Caenorhabditis elegans: one gene and its partners. The protein of the gene in region 2 interacts with the protein of the main gene of each other region in a pairwise test. Each region holds a gene or a part of one and is shown on either strand. Other genes may lie near its edges.

What was found. The genes of interacting proteins can lie anywhere in the genome.
Region 1: the proteins of C54E10.6 (region 2) and rfip-1 interact in a two-hybrid assay, tested with the Caenorhabditis elegans proteins (one large-scale study listed by BioGRID).
Region 3: the proteins of C54E10.6 (region 2) and syd-9 interact in a two-hybrid assay, tested with the Caenorhabditis elegans proteins (one large-scale study listed by BioGRID).

What each region holds. Positions count from the first base shown.
Region 1 is NC_003280.10:5,883,498-5,893,983, forward strand, and holds rfip-1 (FIP-RBD domain-containing protein), read left to right. Parts: upstream 1-2,870; 5' UTR 2,871-2,957; coding exon 2,958-2,999; intron 3,000-5,962; exon of another isoform or gene 5,963-6,210; intron 6,211-6,626; exon of another isoform or gene 6,627-6,766; intron 6,767-6,989; coding exon 6,990-7,154; intron 7,155-7,389; coding exon 7,390-8,054; intron 8,055-8,101; coding exon 8,102-8,280; intron 8,281-8,365; coding exon 8,366-8,730; downstream 8,731-10,486.
Region 2 is NC_003283.11:18,805,802-18,811,213, reverse strand, and holds C54E10.6 (Protein MNN4-like), read left to right. Parts: upstream 1-2,484; 5' UTR 2,485-2,552; coding exon 2,553-2,733; intron 2,734-2,946; coding exon 2,947-3,104; 3' UTR 3,105-3,145; downstream 3,146-5,412. Other genes in the region: C54E10.3 (G-protein coupled receptors family 1 profile domain-containing protein), read right to left, coding at 1-209; sri-10 (G protein-coupled receptor), read left to right, coding at 4,705-4,863, 5,042-5,257.
Region 3 is NC_003284.9:7,215,513-7,222,885, forward strand, and holds the start of syd-9 (Zinc finger protein syd-9), read left to right. Parts: upstream 1-2,757; 5' UTR 2,758-2,955; coding exon 2,956-3,093; intron 3,094-4,664; coding exon 4,665-4,715; intron 4,716-4,831; exon of another isoform or gene 4,832-5,063; intron 5,064-5,460; coding exon 5,461-5,587; intron 5,588-5,633; coding exon 5,634-6,105; intron 6,106-6,163; coding exon 6,164-6,279; intron 6,280-6,977; exon of another isoform or gene 6,978-7,236; intron 7,237-7,373. UniProt on the Caenorhabditis elegans protein: Plays a role in regulating synaptic function, probably by modulation of endocytosis. May be dispensable in muscle for normal locomotion. May be involved in post-transcriptional mRNA processing, in parallel with unc-75.

The sequences.
Region 1 (10,486 bases), on a different chromosome or scaffold from region 2:
TCTTCACCTACCCAACTGACCACTACCTATTATTTCCCCCCAATTCAGAAGTATTTTCTCTCTCTTTTTTCCTCTATATTCACCTCAAAAACTAGTAGTCGTTGTATTTGGGCAAAATGTCCTTTCCGTTCTTCTGTCCACTACCACCACGAATACCCTCAACACTCACTTTATTCCATTCATTCTTCCCGTTTCGACGATTCGATTCACACATAAATTATAGTATACATACTTGAACCAAAAAAATGGAAACGGGGAGGAACGGGTTCGGATGAATGACTTTTCACACTCCTTTTCCTTGAGAAATGACAAATTGGAAGACTCTGTGAGCCAAGATAGGCGGAGCTTCGAATTATTCACCAACTTTCTTATTTCTTTCTTAGAAATTCGTTTCTTAAATTTTTGATCTTGACAGACAGCTGAATAACCTAGTTGATTATGGGTATCACGTTCTGTTATCACTATGGTTACTTTATTTTGTTTTTCTTTTTTCTTCCACTTGGCGTCACAGCCGCTATAAAATTTATTATTCTAGCAGTTGGCTCACTTCTTCATCTAGATCATGAAAAAGTGCTTCTTTTGTTGGTTCACACATTCAACTTTTTGTCATTTTATTTAGACCGCATTTTGCCACAAAAAAATTACAAAAGTCGGATAATTTGTCAATGTTCTACAACGCATCTATTATTTAAATTTGTATGCTTGTTTTTCTAAAAATTCGAATTCCAACCTGTAATCACTCTAAAAATACCTGAACATTGAAGCATTGGAGCATTAACTTCCTCTAAAAAATGGCTTATTTTCCCCTATTTCTCTATTTCTCTCTCGCGTTACCATTCATTTTTTATATTTCTCACCTGATATTTGCTCTTGTACCGGTAGTTCCAACATGTACATACACATTCATTTTACAGTCTTCCTCGCACATTTTAACAGTTTTCCTTTCATATACGAATTCCTCCATCTTTTTCAAATTCCCTTTTTATTTTTTCAAACCGTCGTCCTTTTTATAGCTTTCCCACTTTCTTCCAAATCAAATTTTGAAATATTTCAGAGTTTAACTCTCAATCAAATCGAAACGAACGATCTTCTAAAACATCATTGGGCTCCTGAATCAGAACCACGACAGCGTCATGACCGACGTGTATGAGTCGCCTGCCCGCGAGGTATGATTCTTTTTTCCTTCATAATTTTGCAAAAAAAATGGTATCTATTTTTGAAAAACTAATATTGACTAATTTTCTATTAGGCAGAACACTGCTCATCTCCTAATATTTGTATGACGGATTGTACTGGTATTTTTATATGTTTTGACAAGGCTTCCCAATTTACAAAAACATAAAAACAGCTAGCTATTAATAATGAAAAATTGTTTGGATCTATATTTGTTGAAAATATTTTTTACTGACATTGAAATTTCAAAAGTTGTCAAATTGTAAATGCTCATCGTTTGCAAGACTATTCTTATTGTATGAAAAAGTGAGAAGCTGCAAAATTCCATTCAACAAAAAAAACTACTAACATTTTAATATTTTCAAGACTCCAAACTGTAAGAAAATCTAGCTCCACACTCAAACTAGGCCATGTACGTAAAACTAGTATAATTTACAGTTGAGTCATGTAACATGTATTCATAGTTGCATTCATTTGACTCATTTACCTCGTTCTCCCCCTCCCTTCCCATTTCCTTCAACTCTGTTCAGTTTCCCGAGTACACATTGAATCTACCTGCTCCTGAAGCTGCGCCTCTCATCCTCTCGGGCTATTTTCCATTCCGTAAAAGTAACTTGAGCCTTGTTCACATAACAACAAAATGCGGGGCAAGATAGAATGTTCGCATTTCAATTGTACTAGAGACCTTTATCTTCAAAGAATAGTTTTGGTTTTTTTTCCTGTTTCGTAAAGTGGAATGAGTGTTGTCCCCAATCCATCTCAAATTATACTTCATCTTACGCTCATCCACTTTTCACCCACTTTTCAGACTCTTTAAATGACCATCCTTTTCTCTTTTTCCTTTTATTCTTATAACAATAGACGTGATTCTTTTAATTTGTGGATTTGCCGGTGCCGCTCCTAATTACTGTATACTTCTCACTAATACTAAAGTTTAGCAATTAAAACTATTAACTCAAAAAGAAGTAAACCTATTTTCAAAGCATTCTTCCCAATTCAGAGTTGATGAAAAGCCACAAAACAATGGGATCACTCGAAAAAATGTGTTTCGAAGAGCCATGCATTTTGAGCTCTTAGAGCTAAATCACAAATCATTGAAGGTTCTATGTATGAACATTGAATAAATCATTTCGATTTAGGGAGACTATACGTTCAACTTCCTCTTTGTACCAACTTCAGTATTCGCTACAGATTTTTGGTTCCTTGTTTCACTATTGAAAATTTTAATGTTTCCAATTTCTTCTACAAGAAACATCATGACCCCATAATTCACTTCCTAATCGTCTAATCATCTCCTCTTATCACAAGAATTACTTGGGTGTGACTGGTCATTTGAAATAGCTTTGCAATTGTTTTTTCTTTGCTTCTCGAAACCCGTCAAAAAACTATCGATTAATTGCGCTCAATAGAAGACGTACAAAACAAGTGAACACATACAATGACTATCCAAAAACCGGATTCGCTTTCCCTCTCTTTTCACTTGTGATTTCGCAATTCTTTCATCTTCAACGTCTTCTTCTTCGGTTGTTTTTTGTATTGAGGGTTTACAACCTCAACCTGATGACCGTGGCTGAAAAGATAAACTGGCAAAATTGAAGAGACTAGTTGAAGCTAGAGAGACGCAGGCCTGAAAGTTGAAGAAGGCGGTTCGAAATTGATAACAGTCTCTTCGTTTTCTCATTTCTTCTCAACACAGTACAATTTGCCGCATTCACTCGTCTGCTACTATTACCTTCTGAACTATTGATTTGGTGGCATTCTGTCACTCATTTATTTCTCCAACAATGACTACTGAATTCGTGTCAGAAGAGGAGTCCAAGTATGCGGTAAGTACTCTACAATATTGACATTAACGGAGGGAAATTGATTCCAATGGGGTTAAGTAAAGTCAGTCATACAAGTTTGCACTTTAGTGATTTTCTAGGCAGCTTCACAAAATAGCATTAAAAAATGCATTTTAAACATCTAATCGTTTTTTCATCAGAAACATGTGAATTTCCAGAGCCTTCTCCTTACCATTTTACATAAAGGGCGGCGATCTTTAACCAAATTTTTCTCATTAACGATGATATTGTTTTTTTAAATAGCTGAAATGTTGAAAATAATACACCTGAAAAAGAATCCTTCAAATTATTCAGCTTTCACAATAAATAAGGACAGTTTATTTTATTTATGCTTCAAGGGACACCACATTTGCTTCTTTTGATTTGTTGTATGAAAAAATCTAAAAACGGTTCTATCAATCTTTTTTGAATGCATTTCATGCGACAGTAACCTTTATAATCGTTCATATTTCCCTCATGTCAATTTCAATGTCCTCCACTTTTTTCCACCTATTTGGGACAGGGATGAGTCACTGAAAAACTGTCTTCCCACCTTTGAAAAGACCATCCCCTACAGTGTTTGCTCGCCGTCTCTAAGTCTCTCCAATTTGTGTACTCTATTCCAAGTGAAGCTTTTCCACTCGAAAACCGTATTTCGATACACTCCTTTTTCTTTCTCAGATGCTGAAGCTGAAGACCCATGTTCTTTTCCTTTTCTATGACATTATTCTAGCACATAATTATAGTGTCAAAAAAGGGAGAAGTGTCTAGAATTCACATGTCACGTGGAACATTATTTCAGTTTTCACCTAGAAGTTCCCACCAATTTGTGTTGTTTGTCAAACAACTTTTGTTGATGATCTCTGATGATCTACTCTGAACTCTGTATTTTTTTTCTGTCTAAAACGTCATAGGAAATGAGTCAGTTGCCACGTCACAATAAAAATGGGAAAAGTATCGGAATTTTTTGGTTCTAATCTATTTGTTTTTCGTGTAAGAATGCTCATCGTCTTGTCGATCTTTTGATAGGAAGGGAATATAAAAAATAAATAAAAACAACTTGAGAATTCAACAGCTGATTTTTTCCACAAGAATTGACTAAATTTATAGCTATATAAAACGAACTGCCATATTGGAATACAAAATCTCAATTTTTGACAAACGTGATAAAGAATACGGTCAAATTTGGCAAACTTGCGGTATTTTCCTATCAACAACTTTGTTTGTGGAATTAATTTTTCAGGTTTCAATTGCATAATCTTTATATTCCGTTAGCATCAAATTCAGCGCAATTTTTTACGTCACACGGTTTTCAGAGCTATAAAAGTTTTAATATTTTTAAAAATGATCTTTTATAATTTCTAACATAATCATTCTCTTTTGAAAACTTGAATACAGTTTCAGAGAATTTCAAATTTTTAGAAAAATCATTTACATGAATTATTTATGGAGAAAAAGTTATCTGCAAATTTTACCATCTACATGTTGTTTCCATTAATAAAATGTACGTCTGTAAATTGATTCGCGCACGTTTCTAGTGAAGCTTCATGATGTAGTCCGGTTCCTGGTAAAATCCCAACAAACCACTTACCGTAATCCTCACGCACTTTTTTCTTCTTCCACTGTCCATTTTCTTTCCTCAAAAAAGCCTTGCAAACCGTTCGAGGCTTTTCCGTGTGCCGCTCTTTGTTATCCACTCGTTTTTCGTCATATTTCTCTTCATCTTTTCCACGCAAAAAACGTTTGTCTATTCTGTATGCTTATGTATGTTTTTGTTCTCTTCCGGAATATAGATGAACAGAGAGAGGCAGAGAGAGTCCGCGGAAAACCGTCGGCGGAACGACAAATACGTCGTTTTCCGGACAAGGCAGCCTTTTTGCCGCAATCGTCATTCCCGTCACTTGATATCTCTTGTATTGCCCGAGTTTAGTCTCTTTTCAAAAAGAGGTGAACACTGTCGTCAAGTATTCCCAGTTCTGTGAATTCATTATTTTTGTTATTTCTTTCTTTTGATAATTAGAAGCTCGAATGTTCCAACTATACGAGGTGAGATTTTAGATATCTAGATCACGCAGTCTAAGTCTTGTTTCAAGCATTATTTTTGCATTTGAGACTCAAAATATAAGACTAGATGGTGTACGGTTTAATCGAAAATTATGATATTGAAACTCCAGACACTAAGAAACTACTATCTACTTTATCAAATTTTTGAGCAATTATCGAATGATTTTGATGATAGAAAGCGCCAGTAGAAAATTCTATAAAACCTTCTTAACTGACCAAATACAGTTGCAAAATTTGAACTGAAATTTTTGGACTGAATTACCATGATCAGTGTACTTCAAAAAATTCCAACTGATACAACTCCACTTTCAAATTATATCGTCCAAATAACATTTATTTATTTTCTACGCTCATTTTCTGTCTTTCGTTATTTCCAAAAATCGAAAACTTCAGCAGGGAAAATTGTTCTCCTCGCTACTATTTCTGTTCAACTAAAACTGATCTCTCTGATCCGTTAATCTCTCATTTTCCGGTGATTTCACACTCTGTGTGCCGTGGTCTCAAATGTCGTTGTTAGAGATTTTTGAACTTTTCTATTGAATCATCTGTTTCAGATTTTTTTTCTCATTTTTGTTCCTCTCTGTAATGACAAAGCTCGTAATGACGTGAAAGGTTTCGGTTCCATTATGAGTCAAGAAATGAAGTGCTTGTTCCCTCCCGCCCCCTCTCTGGAAAAGTGAAGAAATTGAGTCATTCCGAGCAATATCTGCGTCTCTTATCACTCTTATCGTCGCCTGCTCAGGTGGCACAGAAACTTGTCAGAAGAACATGACAAGACATGACATTTTATGAGCTCTTTTCTAACATATTTGTTAGAGGGGAACTTTGTTTTAAAACTACAACGTCCTTCGAGTACTTAGGTATTTAGTTTCATTGACTCACATCATTCTACATTTTTTTAGCTCTAAATCCCACGTGCGTCATTTCATAGCGTCTGCTCTGTCCGTATCCATAGAAACCGCGAGGAGCGGCTCAGTAGAAGCAGGGACAGCTTAAAAATAAATATTATTCGAGGCTGAAGAGATTCAGAGTTCGGTGTTTCGCAATCCGCTCCACCTCTATTCTCCCACCTCTTTTAATATTTTTTGCCTAGTCACCACTGCCACACTTCAAAATTGAAGAATTCCAGAAAGAGCATTATCTGATTGATGTGAGTTTTGAGTTAATACATATAATCTTTTTGTAATTGTATGTTGTAATTGTATCCTTTAATTAGCAAAAATTGGTAAAAAACAAATTTGAAATCGTCTTCAGATTTAAAAAAAATTTATGATACCTATGAGTAATATGTTCTGAAAATGATCTTCAAAGAAATTTTAATTTGATATAATCAAATTAATTTAGTTTAATCTTGTCTCTAATCCCATGTTTTCCACTCCCTAAATCGGGGCAATTAATCCGGGTAGACCAGTTCAAATCCCTTAACAACTAGAATTTTTCGTTTTTGCCTTGTTCGTCATCTCTTTTCAAAAAAAAATAGTTGAACGAAAAAAGTGCTTGTAAATACGACATAATGCTCTTCTTTCTAACAATAGCTGCTAGTACTCCAACTAGAGCATTGGGCTTCACAGGAAGTGAGCACAATTTGAGCAGCTGTGCCAACCTGGCTTCCGTTGGCCCCCACATACGCCACCTTTCCCAATTTTTTTTTACTTTTCCAGCTTTTTTGGAGGAATTTTTCAAAGAATTAAAAGAGATAAGATGGAAGAACGGAACTAGAAAATGTTGAGAAGATGCTAATTTGATACGGTTTCCGCTTGTTCCATCCATTTTTCCTCCTCCTTCTTTTCTATTCTTCTCCACTCATTCTCGATCAGTCAATCACTTCTAATTTCATTTACATTTTCGTTCGTTTCCTATAAATTCTAAAAGAAAGACAGAAAATATTCACTTATTTGAAACGCTAACTAATCCATAATTCATTTCCAGGACTCGCCTATGCGATTACAAGGCAGCTCGGCGAGCAGCGCGTCGGTCGCTTCCAGGTTATACGGAACACGGTCTCGTAGAGATAGTCTTGGTGGAAGCTCTTCAGAAAGTGATTTAATTGCATTTGGAGGTGATCAGGACGCTCTCAACGATTTCAGTTCACAAGTGAGTTATCAAGTAAAATGTAAAACATTTAAAAATTATTTTGAATACATTGGAAATGTACAAAAATAAATATTTTAACGTGCTTTCCTTATTCGATGGATTAAAGTTTAATTAATCATTTCAAATTAAAAACATTTCTTTGTAATCTTGTTATGGAGAATAGATGTCTACTTGAAGCAGTGAGCATTTTGTGTCAAATTCCATGTACTATTTTACAAATTCTATCATATTCCAGATGAACCAGCTCAACTCATTCACGAAGCGTTATTCGGAGCTCGAGGAGCGTAACATGTCCCTCTCGGATGAACGTACCCGCCTCAAAACTGAAAATTCAGTGCTGAAAGAACGAATGCACAATTTGGAGGAACAGTTGACTGATAATGAGGATCGATTCAAGCAATTGCTCTCCGATGAGAAGGCACGTGGAACTGAATCAATGTCAAGGTTGAAAAGAGAAAAAGAATTGGAAACTGAAAGTTGGAATTTGAAATATCAAATGCTTGAGAAAGATTTGATTTCTGTGAAAAAAGATGCTGAAAGATCAAATGAAGAAACAAAGAGAATTCGAAATGAATTGGAGAAGACTGAAAATAAACTTGAAGAAGCTCAACTTCTTGTAGAAGGAATGGAAGAAGAACGAATTCAATTGGAACGACAATTCAGAAAATTCAAAGAAGAAGCTCAGCAAGATATTGATTCCAGCAGTGAAATGGTTGAAGTGTTGGCTTTGGAAACAGAAGAATTAAGGAGAAAAGTAGATGGTCCCCGATCTGAAAGTATCTCTGATCGTGAAGATATGCACGAAGAGATTGAAATTTTGAAAGCCAAAGTAGCAGAACTAATGAAAGAAAAAGAAGAAATGACTGATCAATTATTGGCTACTTCTGTAGAACGGGGAAGGTGAGTTGACATTCCAAAGTTTTCATTCAAAAACATTTTTTCTTCAGATCTCTCATTGCCGATACACCGTCACTTGCTGATGAACTTGCCGGTGGTGATTCTTCTCAGCTTCTAGATGCTCTTCGTGAGCAGGAAATCTGCAATCAGAAGCTTCGAGTCTACATCAATGGAATTCTGATGCGTGTCATTGAGAGGCATCCAGAAATCCTTGAGATCGGAGAAGAAGGTGTAAGTGGAATTTTACAATATTCTTTGAATTTAAAAAAAAAGTCGTACTCGATCTTGTCCAGCCTGATTGTATTTTTTTCCAGGAATCCTCTCCAAGTTGACGGTGCGCCGGAGAATCTCAGTCCTCGCCAACGTCGTCGTCATCATCGATTCCAGAAGAGTCATCATCACCGACACTTTCAGCAAGAATCTCCGCCTACCTTCCCTCATCGTTTCTTCGATGGGGATGAATAGACACATGACGTCATCAACGATTGGCACTCAATTCCTTGTGACGTGGCATGCAACATTTAGTCTTTTTTTTTCTTTTCTCCATCCCTGTGATTTTCAAAATGCTTTACTTCAAATGTTTCTTTGTACAATCTCCTCGTTTTTAGTCCCCTTTACCCCCTCCAACAGTATTTTCGAATTGCGTGCCACGTCACAGATAGATCCCGTTAACGGGTAAAATACCATCCATAATATGTACATCTGAGACTGAGATCCCCCTCCGACCCCCCATTTTTTCTGGACCTTTTTACCCCAGTGATACACACATTTTTTTTTGTTTCAAAACTTCAATTTGCCCAACGATAATTTTCCATTCGCACCCCATTGATGATCCATACATTTTGTGATATATAGCATTTTTCTGCCCATCATTTTTTCCGACTTTTCCCCCCTCGAATATTTATAATTTATATTCATGTGTTTGTATTTTCCGTCTGTCTTTTCTGAAAATTCTTGTCATTTTCATGGTTAGTGATAGTTCTTCTCTTCTTTCCGTGCCGATCACCAATTTTTGAATTCAATCGAGCTTTTTATTGTTGTTTCACTAAAATTTCTGTCTGTGTAAGAAGAGTTTAAAAAGAAGAAGAAGATACAAAAACGAAGAATAAACATGCATTTTCTCAAAACCATGCATTTTGAATGGAAACAGAACAAAAAAATTTATAAAGGGAGAAGATGAGACATGCAATACTTCTTCATCAACTGAGTATTATACAAGAATTCAACTGGTCATTTTCATTTTGGAAATAATCATGTCTATCGTTTCTTTTCTACGGAGCCTGCTGATTTTCAAACTTTCTTTTAACTACGTATTCCAAATATTTTACAGTTTTTTTTTATCTACCGAGAAACTGTTTTTTTTTAACTATGTCCTGAACTATATTTTGGAAAACGCAGTCATATTAGTATCGTTAAATTTTTGCTCATTGACATTTACAGAACTGAGCTCCAATTCTGCATCGTTACCTGTTCCCGTTTTAGGTTTTTTGTGATGTTTTTATATGCGTCGTTAGATTCTTTAAATCAGTTGAATAGGGAAGGGTGTGGGCGTTTTGCGTGTTCCTCAACAGGAAACCAGGAAAAATTGGTATTAAAAAATGAAAAATCCTGAGTTGCATGTCAAACTTTTTATTCGAACAATCTTTGTGTTTTCACAGATTATTTTGTTCTCACAATCAGAAGTAAATTACCGTTTCAAATAAATATTTTTAATTCTGAATCGATTGGCGTTGCTCAATTATTAAGAAGAGCTGGCTAAACTTGGCCTTTCGTTGAGCCTTCTCAGAATTAATATTGTCGATAAGAACTTATTATGAAAGAACTCAACCAAATAAGGTTGCCAATTGTGAACAATGATTATGATCAAGATTTGCTTACCATTAGAACATGCACGTTGCTTATTTAACTTATAAACTTATCACCAACGTTTTCTTCTCTAAAGTAACTTTCAATCACAACTACTAACTTCATTTCACCTGCTGTTTTCCGTTTATCTTGAAAAAATGGCTTGTCTCTAGTCTTATGACTTACGGAATTGGGCAGTAAACAAGTGAATGGAAAACAAGAGAGCTGTAGTATTTTGTCTGTACAATAAACCAGAAGCTATCAATTATTGAAAAGCGTCAGTGGAAGGTGATTGGAGTGACTGAAAGATTGTTATTAGAGCTTTTGAATAAATCGTTTTTGCTCTCAAGATCTCTGAATGTTTTGGTAAACATCAGTCCTGATCGAGAATTAGTCCCTGCACGCAAAACTAGTAAAGAAAATATAGTATCATGAATTGGCAGCGGGTAAGTTTAATTAAGACACTTCTTGTCCTGAAAGATCAAAATTTCCCATAATCCTCTACTACTTGGCTTCTAACTATTTCCAAAGAATCAGCTTATCCAAATTTCGCAATTCCCAGTCAACCTCAGACTCGACCTTTTCAAGCC
Region 2 (5,412 bases):
CTGAAAAATGGCAGAAAATGCACATTTTTGCCAGTTTTGCCGTGAATATACAAAAAGCTTAGAAATATGATAAGTAGCGTGAAAAAACCAACGAAAAGTACCGAGTAGAAGAGGATTTGCGACGAGTTTTGCCATTCGTCGAGATAGGTTTGCTCATCGGTGAGCATTGATTGGTCAATGAAGGAGATCAGTGGGACTGAGATCGACATGCTGAAATTTTAATGTTTAGACTAAAAATTTGAGAAATTTGAGAAAAAACTATTCAAAAAACTGAATTTGTGGCTGTAAATCAAGATTTGTGATTAGAAAATTCGAATTCCTTGCCTAGAAAAACCTATATACCCTATCAGGGGGTCGAACCTGTGCCCTATTTCACCAAAGCCAAGCCACTTACCTACTGCGCCATATGGGAATCGCGTGGCAAAAAAGGCGCAGCGCGCGCCTAGCAGCATGGCGCAGTGGCTAAGAGGCTTACCTTTGGTAAAATAGGCCACAGGTTCGAATCCCATCGGGGGTACATATATTTTTTTAGGCGGAGAAATCGAATTGTTTACTTTTAAACTTAGAAAATCCACGTGGAAGGTGGAATTTTGAGTTAAAACTGTATACTTTTGACAGTTTCAACAATTTTTTTACAATATGCAAATCGAACTAAATGTTATGATCTCTGCAAAACCTTCATATTTGCAAATAATTTTTTTCAATGAATTTTTTTACTCAGCGTTTTTTACTTTCTCACTTAGAAAAAAATATATACCCTAGCAGGGGTTTGAACCTGTGACCTATTTCCCCAAAGGCAAGCCTGTTATCCACTGCGTCAACCCCTTCCTTCCTGGCTACTTCTCCGGAATTGCGCGCGCGCACGCATGGCTAAGTGAGTAAGAGGCTTGGCTATGGAAAAATAGGTCACTGGTTCGATTCTCAGGTAGGCTGTTTAGTTTTTTCTAGGTAAGAATTTGGAATTTTCATGGCTTGTGAGCTGAAAATTGGAGTTTTTAGCCATTATTTCTTCTTTTTTTCTAAAAAAAAGAATTTTTGAAGTCAATTTTAGTTTTCATATTTTAGAAAAATAGTCAAATGTACACCAATGCTTGAAAACTAGGAAAAAACTGAAAAATATCCGGAAGAGTGCTTGAAAGTGAAAAACAAAGGGATTAGTGGGAATTTTTAATTTTTTCGCAAAATTTTTCTCAATTTTCATAAACAGCTGTGCTAAAAATCTGGAAAATGCAGGAAATTGAATGTGCTCGGTGGGAAAAATTAGGAAACATGAATTATTCCTAAAAAGTAACAAATAATAAGCTAACACGCAATTATACACATTTTTTGCTGCTTTGGTGGCTTAAAAATGACGTAAATATAGCTTTTATTCAAACAAAAAAAATACATTTTTTCTAAAGATTGCGAAAAAAAAAAATTCTGGAAATTTTGAAAATTTCGAAAAAAATTTTTTTTGGAAAATTTGAAAATTCAATTTTTTTTTAATTTCAGGATTTTTGCTTAAAAACCCACAAAAATATGCTAACTCCAATTTTTATGCAATTTCCCTTCCTGAAAATCTAATTTTCCACTTAAAAACCACACAAAGAACACAAAGAAATCCAATTTTTTTTTTGGAAAAAAAAAAAAATTCTGAGATTTTCGCTCTTTTAGCCTATGCTGCATAATAATCCTAGAAAAATATCGGAAGCCTGACAAGAAGTTTCCAGAAAAACGTGACAATTTCAGCTTCCGGGGGGTTTCACACATTATTTTCTTTTCTCTGGCTATATTTTCGAGTTACATGGGAAAATGACAAATTTTTAACTAAAAGAAAGCAAAAAACAAATTTTTTTTTGAGAAAAGTGATGTGCAGCAAAAAATGCGGAAAATTTGGTTTTTTTTTAACTTTTAATTTTCCAAAAAACGAGGTTTTGCGTTGAGTTTGGCAATTTCAAATTCAAAAATTCGAATTTCTCACCTAGAAAAACCTGTATACCCCAACCGGGGTTCGAACCTGCGACCTATTTTTCCAGAGACGAGCCGCTTACCCACTGAGCCATGCTGGCAGGCGCGCGGTGCGCCACTTTTGCCACGCGGTTCCCATGTGGCGCAGTGGGTAGGTGGCTTGACTTCGGTGAAATAGGTCACAGGTTCGAGCCCCGAACTGGTTTACAGGTTTTTCTAGACGAGATTTTTGAATTTTTTAGTTTAAAACTCTGAAAATCGACACGAAATCGGGTTTGCTGATTTTTTTTTCGAACTTTTCATTTAAATTCCACCAATCTTTGGGTCTTCACAACCATAAATTTAATTTCCCGTAAATAAATTAGTTCTCCTTCCGAACCAAGCCACCAGCTGACACCAACGGCTGTGTTGCACTTCTCCCCGTCTCGCACCGTCTGCGTCTCCGCATGCTCTCTAACTCTCTCCCTCGGAGGCTGAATCCCAAGCCATCTGCTGTCCGCAGAGTGCTCATTCCTCACTTTTGTATTGATTTACTGAAAATTTGACGAGTTTTCGCCAGAATTTTGCTGGATTTTCACAAAACTTCCTGTATTTTCAGCCCAAAAATGTCTGAAATCTCCATAAAACGTGCACATGAAAACGAAAAAGATGCAGAGGAAGATATGGAGCCAGCAACTAAAAAAATTAAATCTGATGACGTCACAGAGGAGCAGGAGAAGCCTGAAATTGTGGAGAAAGCTGAAAAAGTGAAGAGCATGAAAAAGGAAGAAGCTGGCAGCCTGAAATGTGAGTTTTTGAGCAATTTTTGAAAAGAAATGGGTTAAAATAGACTGAAAATGGATGATTTTAAACTTTTTTCTAAAAATTAAAATTTTGAAAATTTTGATCAAAAAAAAAATTTTTTTTTGAAATTTCGAAAAAAAAAATGTTTGAAAAATTTACAATTTTTATTTTTTTTCCTATTCTTCATCAGAACATTTGAATCAAAAAAAATTCCAGCACCACCCAACGATGAAATGGAGTCAGAATTCACACATGTGCTCAATGAGCTCTCAAAACAGAAAGAGACTATCAAAAAACTGCTGGACGATTTGAGAGCGGACAATAAGAAAAGGAAGACACACAATATTAGAACGATTTTCCAGAGAAAAGATTGAAAATTTACTTTTTTTTTGACTATAAATATTTATTTTGCATATTTCAATTTTTTCAGTTTCAACAAAAACCGAACATTTTCAGAGCTTGCGACTATGAAATTCGAGTTTAGGAGAGTAGATATACCAAAGACAAATTTAAAAAAAAACACAGAAAAAAATTGTGCCACAGTGCGGACTCGAACCCCGGCCTTCAGATTGGTAGTCGTCGAAAATCCCACTGAGCCATTTGAGCATAATTTTTAAAAATCGCGGAACTACATTTTTTCAACAGTTTTTGAAATTTGAAAGACTTATCATTGAGTTTTCAAAGTTTTAGATACCTAAAGTTACTGGAATAAATAAAAATTCTCAAACTTTGATACTTGGAAATGAAATGTAAATGAAAATTGCTTCCGTGAGAATTCGGAGAAGTTAATGAAAAGCAACAACAACATATTACCTTAACATTTTTCCATCCAAAAAACCGAAAAATTAAACACCTTTTGTCAAAATTCAGTTCAAAAATAAGCTTTAAAAACTTTGAGATCTAAAAATTCAGATTTCTCGCCTAGAAAAACCTATTGTCACTCTCGTGGATCCGAACCCCCGACCATCTGCGCCAAAAACAAGCCTCTTACCCACTGCGCTGTAAGAGCACCGCGCGCGCAAGCTGCATGGCGCAGTGGGTAAACGGTTTGGCTATAGAGCAATAGGGGACAGGTTCGAACCCCCGGAAGGGTATATAGGTTTTTCTAGGCGTGAAAATTGAATTTTCAACTTTAAAATTGAAAAAAATCTACTTGAAGATCGAAATTCTCGAGTTTACCAGGGTTTGGCCTAATTTTTATGGTTTTTATTTGAAATTATTTGTAGAAGCCTGAGTGTTTTGAGAAAAACACATAAATTCCAAAAATAACTTGCAAAATAATTTCGTGGATTTTATGAATTTCACTGTTCCATTAAGTTTTAGGCAATTTAAAACCCAAAAATTCAAATTTTTCGCCTAGAAAAACCTGTAGCCACTCTCTGGGACTCGAACCCGCGGCCTTCTGCGCCAAAAGCAAGCCTCTTACCCACTGCGCCATAAGTGTACCGCGCGCGCCTGCTGCATGGCGCAGTGGATAAGAGGCTTGCTTTTGGCGCAAAAGGTCAGGGCTCGACCCCGAGAAGGGTATATAGGTTTTTATAGGCGGTGAATTCAAATTTTTTTGTTTAAAACTACCATTTTGAATGGAAAAGTGACTTTTTTCCAAAAAAAAAAAACTAAAATTTTTATATTTTCCAAGTTTTAAGTATTGAGTATAGGTTTTTCTCTGTGAGAGGTTCAAAATTCAAACTTACAATTTTCTACAAGTAGTCTGAGAATCTAAATTTTAAGCTATTCACCCGGGATCAGCAAATCAAATTTTCACGAGAAAATTGGTTCTGCCGGCGAAAACAGGTGAAGTTTTTTTAAAGAAAATTATACAAATATACAAATTTTGCAGGTGAAAAAATTGAAAAAAAAAAACGAAAAAAAAAATCATGAACCAGATCACTGAACTCCAGTCACATTTTTTTCAAATCTTGCAGTTTTTTGTCAAATTTCTCCAAGAAATTCCCAAAAATTTTCAGCAAAAAAATGCCGGCACCATGTCCTGAAACATTGCCTGCCTATTATATGCCTACCTTACATGTAATTGGTGCAATTTCGATTCCAATGAATGTTTTGGGATTTTATATGGTTTGGTTTCAGTCCCCAGGAATGCAGGGCTATAAGTATTGTCTTTGTTACATGCAGGTAAGGGGATTTAGGAGGATCATAGTATAAAAAATAGGCCCAAGGAGGTTAAAAATTTTAAAAATTTAAATTTGTATAAAATTTCGAAAAAAACAAATTTTTTTCGAAATTTCAAAAAAAAAAATTTTTTTTTCAAATTTTTTTTTTCAAATTTTTATTTGAAAAGTTCAAATTTCAGAGTGTCTCAATGCTCACGGAGCTCTACATGTCCTGGATATGCCCCTCATACTTCTTTTTCCCATTGGCCGGTGGCTATATCCTGGAGGAGAACTTTCGAAGATTCGTGAGCACACACGCGAGCTTGACCATTTGGGTTTTCATTTTTTGCTTCGTTTTGTCGGCTGCTCTGACATGTTTTGTATACCGACATAATGCTGCAGCACAAATTAATCAGGTAAAAAGTTGAAAAATACCAATTATGAAGTTTTTGGCCAAATGGCGCAGTGGGAGTTTCGTCGGCTACCAATCACACGACCAGGGTTCGAGTCCGCACTGTGACAAAAATTTTTGTTTCATTGTTTTTTTGTGTTTTGAGGATTTAGAACTCAG
Region 3 (7,373 bases), on a different chromosome or scaffold from region 2:
TGTTTTTGTTACTAATCCCAGAGTATGGATAACCACAATGCTCCAGTCAGCCTGTCATCATGTGATTGCTCACTGCAATCGTCTCTGCCTGTCGACAATTGCCTAGCTCTGGGGAGGTCGTGCCTGGGCCGCCAACGAAGAGAACTCAACTTTTCCGAGACGGACCGGCTATTAGAATCGTTTCGTGGGTGTACGCGGGGGCATCTCGCTTCCCTGTCGTTTTCTCCTCTACTCGGTCCCTGCCTGCATCAAAGCTTTACTTTCCGACAAGTACTCTGGAAGATTACGGCGCATCGGTTTTTGTGAGAAGAATGGCAAGGGAAAAGCAGTGTCTCCGGAAAAGAAAAGGAAACCGACATATTGGGAAAAGAAGTGCGAGAATTTTTGAAAAGAAAAATGGTTTCGAAAGGTTTTTCACTAGAACTTCTTAATTTTTAGTTCGTTCCTCAATTTAAAAATGAATTAGCACCAGTGAAAATTTGTTGAAATTAATTATATAGTGCCAAAATGACCAAATATCATAGTAAAACTTTTCAAAAAAAAAAAGGAAACATTTTTATTGACAGTCAAAAAAATTAGCAATTACTGAGTTTTTGCCACTTTTTAAATGAGGAAACTTTTGCACTTTTGCATTTTCGAATTGCTACAATGTTCGAATATTATTATTTGAAACATAAGCAGACCATAAAATTTGAGGATATTTTATTATCAACGACTACCAAAAAAAAACTGATTACCATTTTTTGAAACAAAATATATAATTTTCTGAAAAATTCTGAAAAGATTTTACTATGATATTTTGCCAACTGAGTTTTTAACAATTTACCCACTGGCGCTGTCCCACCTCTAGGATTTCAAAATGTTAATTGATAAATTTTGAGAGTAAATTCATGCCGTAAAATAAACAATTCGCACTGAATTAGACACATAGTCTTCAACAATACATGATTAATATCTTCTAAATCCCTTTTTCTGACTGAAATCGACCACTTCCTATTTGGTCAAATTGTAGATTTGGTGAATTCATCAGTGAAGCTGATAGATCACAACATGTTTATCGTCGGACTTGCCGGACAGCAGAGACTAACAAGCGAGAGAAGCAAAACGAGTGAAAAAAGAAAGTGGAGAGAGAGCATAAACACATAGTTTATCTGTATTTCAGAATGTCTCCACAATTCGCCTGCTCTTTCGTCTCTTCATTCCCCTTTGAATATTTTTCTTCTTCTAGCTTCACCAGGTCTCACCAATTTGTCACGTCCAGATCCGCCTACACGGTGCGATGGATAAGTGTTGCAAGAAGGGACACGACAAACTGACATACAGGATGAAGCCCTTAGCACACGTTTTATTTTACCGCTGTTTGGTTTCCAAATTGGAAATGTGAAAATGGGAGTGGAAAGAGGAGAAGAGAAAGGAAATGAAAAGTAGAAGCAGAAATGGTTAGTGACAAGCGCCGCGGCATGCACTATGCTCATGACAGTCATGAGATAGACTACGCAGTTGATCTTTTTTTTGGTGGGAATTTTTTTCAGTATTAAAAATAAAAGTTTTATATTGTGAATTTTGTTGAAACAGCGGCATTATTTTACAAAAGTACGTACGGTCGAGTGTTCAGTCAAGGCCGGTGACCTCTTCACAGGTTTACTGAGAAGCGTAAACACGAACCACATGTTGCAACATACACCAGTCAGATTTTTTGTATTTTTCCAACATCTTTCGTATCGTCCGTTACAGCTTTCCGTTTTTGCGGGTTTTCTAATGGGTGTCAGTTTTCAACCGCACAGGCTCACTATCTTGTGTCTATTCCCTCTCTATCCGCTCATTGATTTTTTTGGTGATTACGGCGCACGGCAACTGTGTACAATTTACCTGCTCGCCTGTTTTCGCCAACTGTCATCGTCATGTTTTCTTCATCTACCGCGCCAAAACTCCCCCTCCTCTCTTCTTGTCGGTTTTCTTTTCGTTTTGTTACTGACAGATCTTGTGAAATCTAGAAATGAAATATTATGAGTTTTTTTGTAAAGCAATTTCTTCGCCCAGATGTTTTACGCTGTTGAGTATAGTTTCTTATTAGTTATATTAAATTAAGTTTGAGAGTGTAATAATGTGTTTGTGAGACAAGCTGAAACATGAAAATTGAATCAAGTAATTTTATTAAACGGATTTAGTTTTGATAGCTAGCTTCAAATACAAAAATGAAACCCGTTTGCAAAAATCTAGTTCTGTATCCATGTTCATTTGTAGGAAATATCCCGAATAATGAATAGTTTTGTGCCGTATCCGGCTGGCACAGTGTGCTCGGCGGAAAAGGCTTGAGCTCTGGTGCTGCTTCTCCTCGACCAACACATTCACTCGCTCCACACTCCCATTCCGACTAGGAAACGAGCTAGCTGTAGACAGACCGCCAAGTGACGAGTGACCGCATGAATCAGAGAGAGCTTCAAGACTCGTCTCGGGATACTGAGTAGGCACCCCATAGCAAGCCAGAACGTTATGCAAAATAGGGCGGAGCCTCCACGTCCCCTGCCTGTCTTTCGTTTTCTATCGTCCACATCGTCGTCGTGGAGCGCCTTCCCTGTTTGGAAAAGAAGACGTGGTCACCCTTCTATTCACTGTAGAGCTCCGTGCCCTCCACGTCCACGAGTTGAGCTCTCTCCGGCTCCGGCGTTTTCTGTCGCTCCACCCCTTAGGAATAGCTCGGAGCCCCACCCCTCTCTCTGTGCGCCCGTCCTGTCCGATCGGTCGGCACTCTCCTCCCCCCTCCGTCCGTCCTTTTCATCGTCTCCTTCTACCAGGAGCACGTTTTACCTTTTCCTGGCACCCATCTATTTTGTGGACAGGGTCCCTCTCTTCACTCCAATCATACTCACTAAATCGTTATTCACAAAACATCAACGTTGGCACAGGTTGAAGAAAAGCTGACGTTAAAGAAAACAGAGTCGTTGACCATCCTGGATGTCTGTGTGCGTATCACCGCTAGTACAAGCAACGATTCTGATGACAGAAGAGAGTCTGACATGTCCTCAGTGTCCGAAGTCATTTTCAAGTACAAAACTCTTGCAACAACATCAGCAAATGTTTCATACCGATAAAGTGAGTCACAGTTTTGCATCATTTTTATGTGTTTTTATTGTCTTATTTGTCGCTATCTGATCCAATAGGCCAAATTCGCTCATTTTCTATTTTTGTGCGCTAACTTTTCGATTATGAAAATCTCGCATCAGATAGGCAGCGCACTTTGATGAATATAAGTACAATTCTAGAACATCAAGTTAGAGTAGTTTTCCCAGTAGCGAGAGTCATATTATAATTGTATTAGAAGATCAGAGAGTATTTTGTTCCATAAACCATATCTGTCGTATTCCATTCGATTGTGTATTCCATTCGATTGTGCAACACAAAAGTTTATGAGCCTATACGATACTGCACAACAGTTGCCCACCCATACCGTATTTCGCCCAGTAGAGAGGCCAGGCGGTATGTTTCGTTAGCGATTGGACAGTTCTACAGTTACACTGCAGCAGTTGGCGCGCATAGTTCGCTTTGGTAGATAAGATATTATCATAAGAATCTAACAAATGCACTCTGTAGTACCGTCTTTCAGTGTTTTATTGAGTTTTATACTCTTTTTTGACCTTAAGTTTTAAATATTTGATTTATACTTTCAAATATTCATTGCATCCACGGTTTATCTGACAAGATTAGAATTTTAAGTATGTTATTATGTAGACTGGTAGCTCATTTAGTTTTGATCCTACTATCAGAAAGTGCACCAGATTAATCACTTGTGTGAACTGCACAGAAAAAGGAAATAGTTAGGACGTAGACCTTGACAACGGAAACCACACCTTTGCTCATGCTCGATCTCGCTTTCTAATCTTATTCAGCTGCTTTGCCACAAGAATGTACTTTTGAAGAACCCCTTGATTGAACTAAGACATCAGAAGCCGGTATGAGATATAATGAGATATTTTTAATTACGATACATTTTACCAAAACAATAAAATCTTAAGAATATTACATAGATACATATAAGCAAGACACTAAGCTTTTTAGATTTTTCTGTAGTGGTTCTGTTGACATTCGATCATAGAGTAGTGGTGTGCACCGCTAACTGCTTCCAGAATTGGCGGGACCTAGTTGTTTACGAGGTGTGTGCTCATTTTCCTCTCCTACATACTTGCCTGTTTTCTCTCATCGAAAATAAGACGACCAGCGCAGCAAGGCACCTGACCTCTGGACCAGCGGGGTTTTCCGGTTCACTCTTTTTCCTGATCTTTGCGAAAATGTCATCTCATCCATTTACTGTACAACATCGCATCTTCCGATATATAATCTGATCGCAGTCGCATTTTCATTTTCACCCAGATGGTTCAATGGTAGTTTTGTGTTTTGTGGGAGAAAGATAGGGGCCAGATGCTTTGGTGAATCGCATCGTTTTCCGTCCGTCTCGCCCACATTGCTTACTATTTTGCCATCGGAAACTTTGTCCCTCGCTCCTCCTCCGGCATCTTGTCGCGCTGCTCTGTCATCTACTTGTTCCTTTTTGTCGGTGCACGGGGTATTTTCCGCTCTAGCGATATATTCCGCCTAGTTTTTTTCCAGTTGAACTATCTTGTCTTTTTCGCCGCTTACTCTTTCTCACGTTCCATTTCCATTTTCAGTCTGTACTCCTCTCATTGAAGTCAACCGATGCACCAGTGGGAATGGATCGAGTAAGTAGACAAAATCAAGATGATAAGAAAGACGCGTCTAATAAAGCCATATATCATGCTCATTTGACCGTCAGTATAGAATGAGCAGAAATAGACGAAAATGCGGGGAAATAACGTGTGGCTGCCATTCCACGCAAATTTAATCATCCGTGTGTTGCGTTTCTGTGCTCCACGCAAACACACTAGAACCATCATGCCCTCCTCGTTTTCAAGGAGCCCAGCCTGCTGCTGCCGGACGGTAATGAAAACCGACCAGTGTTGATTGTTTATGGCTGCCTATCCCCTTCCTTTCCGTTTACTCGAAAAGCTGTAGAAACCCATTGGAAAAAGCATGCACAATAGAGAGTACCAGAGAAGGGCGCAATAAATTTTTCAATCAATTTCGATTCTGTGTGCGCAGTGTGTACGCGCAGACCCACATTTTTCTGATTTGATTCATTTGAAACCAATCTGAAATCGCAAAACCACAAAACCATAGAAAAAGAGCAGAAGCTGGTTGTGAGAACAATCAAACGAACAAGATAAAAGGATGACGTCATTGAATGTGTGCCTGTGTGTGACATATGTAAAAGTATTTGAAAGAGATTAGGGATTAGGACTACAGTTCTTGATAGACTTGTAATACAAATTAAAAATTGAGACTTCATGTCTTATATAATCCGCGAACAAGATATTCAGCTAGGATCAGACCGGTTTCATATACCCATAGCAAAGTATAATCTTTTTTATGAATTAATAATTTCAGGCATTCATATGTGAAACATGCGGGAAAGCTTTTCGGTTTCGGTCCAACTTAGCAGAGCATCGATCAGTACATACAGCATTAAAACCTTATGTCTGTAAATTTTGTGGCAAATCCAGTAGGTTAAAAGGTTAGTTTTTGATTAGATTGATAAAATTAAAACAATTATTTTCCAGGAAATTTAACAAAACACATATTAAAACATCACAAAAAAGAGCAGAACGAAGCAATAGCAAAAGATGATATTATTGTAAAGAAAGCACCAAAAATAGTAACCAAAGATAATGGTCCAACAACAAACGGATCAACACCAACTACCTCCACTGCAACACCATCCGTAATCACAGTATCTAGTGCATTAGCGAGTAGCAACGGTCATAATAACAACAACAACAATCATGCAGTGAACAACAATCTGAGGACGATTAAAATGGAACTCGAAGATCCGGACTACAATTTAATCGCCAAATCAGCACCGACACCAGTTGTTTCGAAGATTGTGGCAACACATACAGTGACACCAAGATCTAGACCTACGCCAAAAGATATCAAAGAGATTCTGGAGACGATCGCTCCATCCGTGGGAGTCTCAGAGACACCTGAGGAGATGTGCCTTTTGCCAAAAGATGCTTCATCTGAAAGTGACAGGTAGGTAATTTTAATCATTTTCACATTCTTAAAGTGTTTAACAAAAACCTTTTTTTAGGTCTGTTCTTATCAGCCTTGGTTTTGATTTTGGATCAACGTTGAGCTTGAATCACCAACAACTCCAGCAAGTAGTTCGTGAGCTGAAAGGAGAGCTTAGTATTTCTCCAGACACGGGTTAGTTTTATTAGTTTTTTTTTAATTGAGAATAGAACGTACGAGTTAAACTTTGTTTCCTATATACTTTCATTTCTAATTCTCTTTATTTTCATTCTCATTGTTCTTATAAAATCTTATCTTTGAAACTAGAACTGTCAAACTAAGGATTCTAAGAACCATCTTGTTTTCTTTTTTTTTTTGAATTCAACTCAATTCAACTCCTCGCATAAACTTTTATGTGCAGCAACTGCCATGTGGCGTTCCTTCATTGCCTGTCGGGACGCCAAAGACAAGAAAACGACAGTGTGGAGAAGTGTAAAGTGATCTTAACCTGTTCCGAGGGAAGGATAGGGTCATTCATCTAGTCGCCCATCTTAGTTTACTGTAATACCGTTGTTCTCTTCCCATTTCTTTTGACTGACAGAACTGATGAAAAATGGTTAGAACACAGCTGTCAGTTTGTGAATTTTGAAGTTTTTGAGTTTTTGAGTTATTCTACAAGACCACTTCGAAACCAGTCTTCTCATTTCTCAGCCTCTTCACTTTCTTTAATATTCTTCATACGGAATTGATAGTGAGCTGTGACGGACGGGTGGAAGAGGAGTGGACTGCAGTCAAGAAAACTGCGCAAAACTTTGTATGTCGGTGTGTGTCGTGTCCATATATATCCAGAAGTCGGTTTTGAAAACACAGGACCGCCGTTGGGCAAGGAGGTCCATCATCGTTTCTATCGAGCAACTCCATCTGTGTGCTCATGCGTGCTCGCATCGATTTTCAATGTACGTCGCTTCTGTCCGTCCCCTCCGGCGAAGGGATGAGAAAAGCAACGGACTGCCCGACTGACAAAGCACAAGCAAAATTGCAAGCGCGTGGAAAAAAGGGACCAAGAGTGGGAAGGCCCCGCGGCACACTACTGTTTGCGTTTGGGCACCATTGCACAAAAAGTCCTCATACTCTGGAAAACGCTTCGCCTGTCTTAACCAATCGCCGGTTTTCTTTGTTGAGGGGGTAGTGTGCATTTTTCAAGCACCAAAAATTCACCGCGCACCATTCTCCAGATTGGAAATGAAGGGACGACGACGACGACGGAAAAGAAAGGGAAAAAAACGATG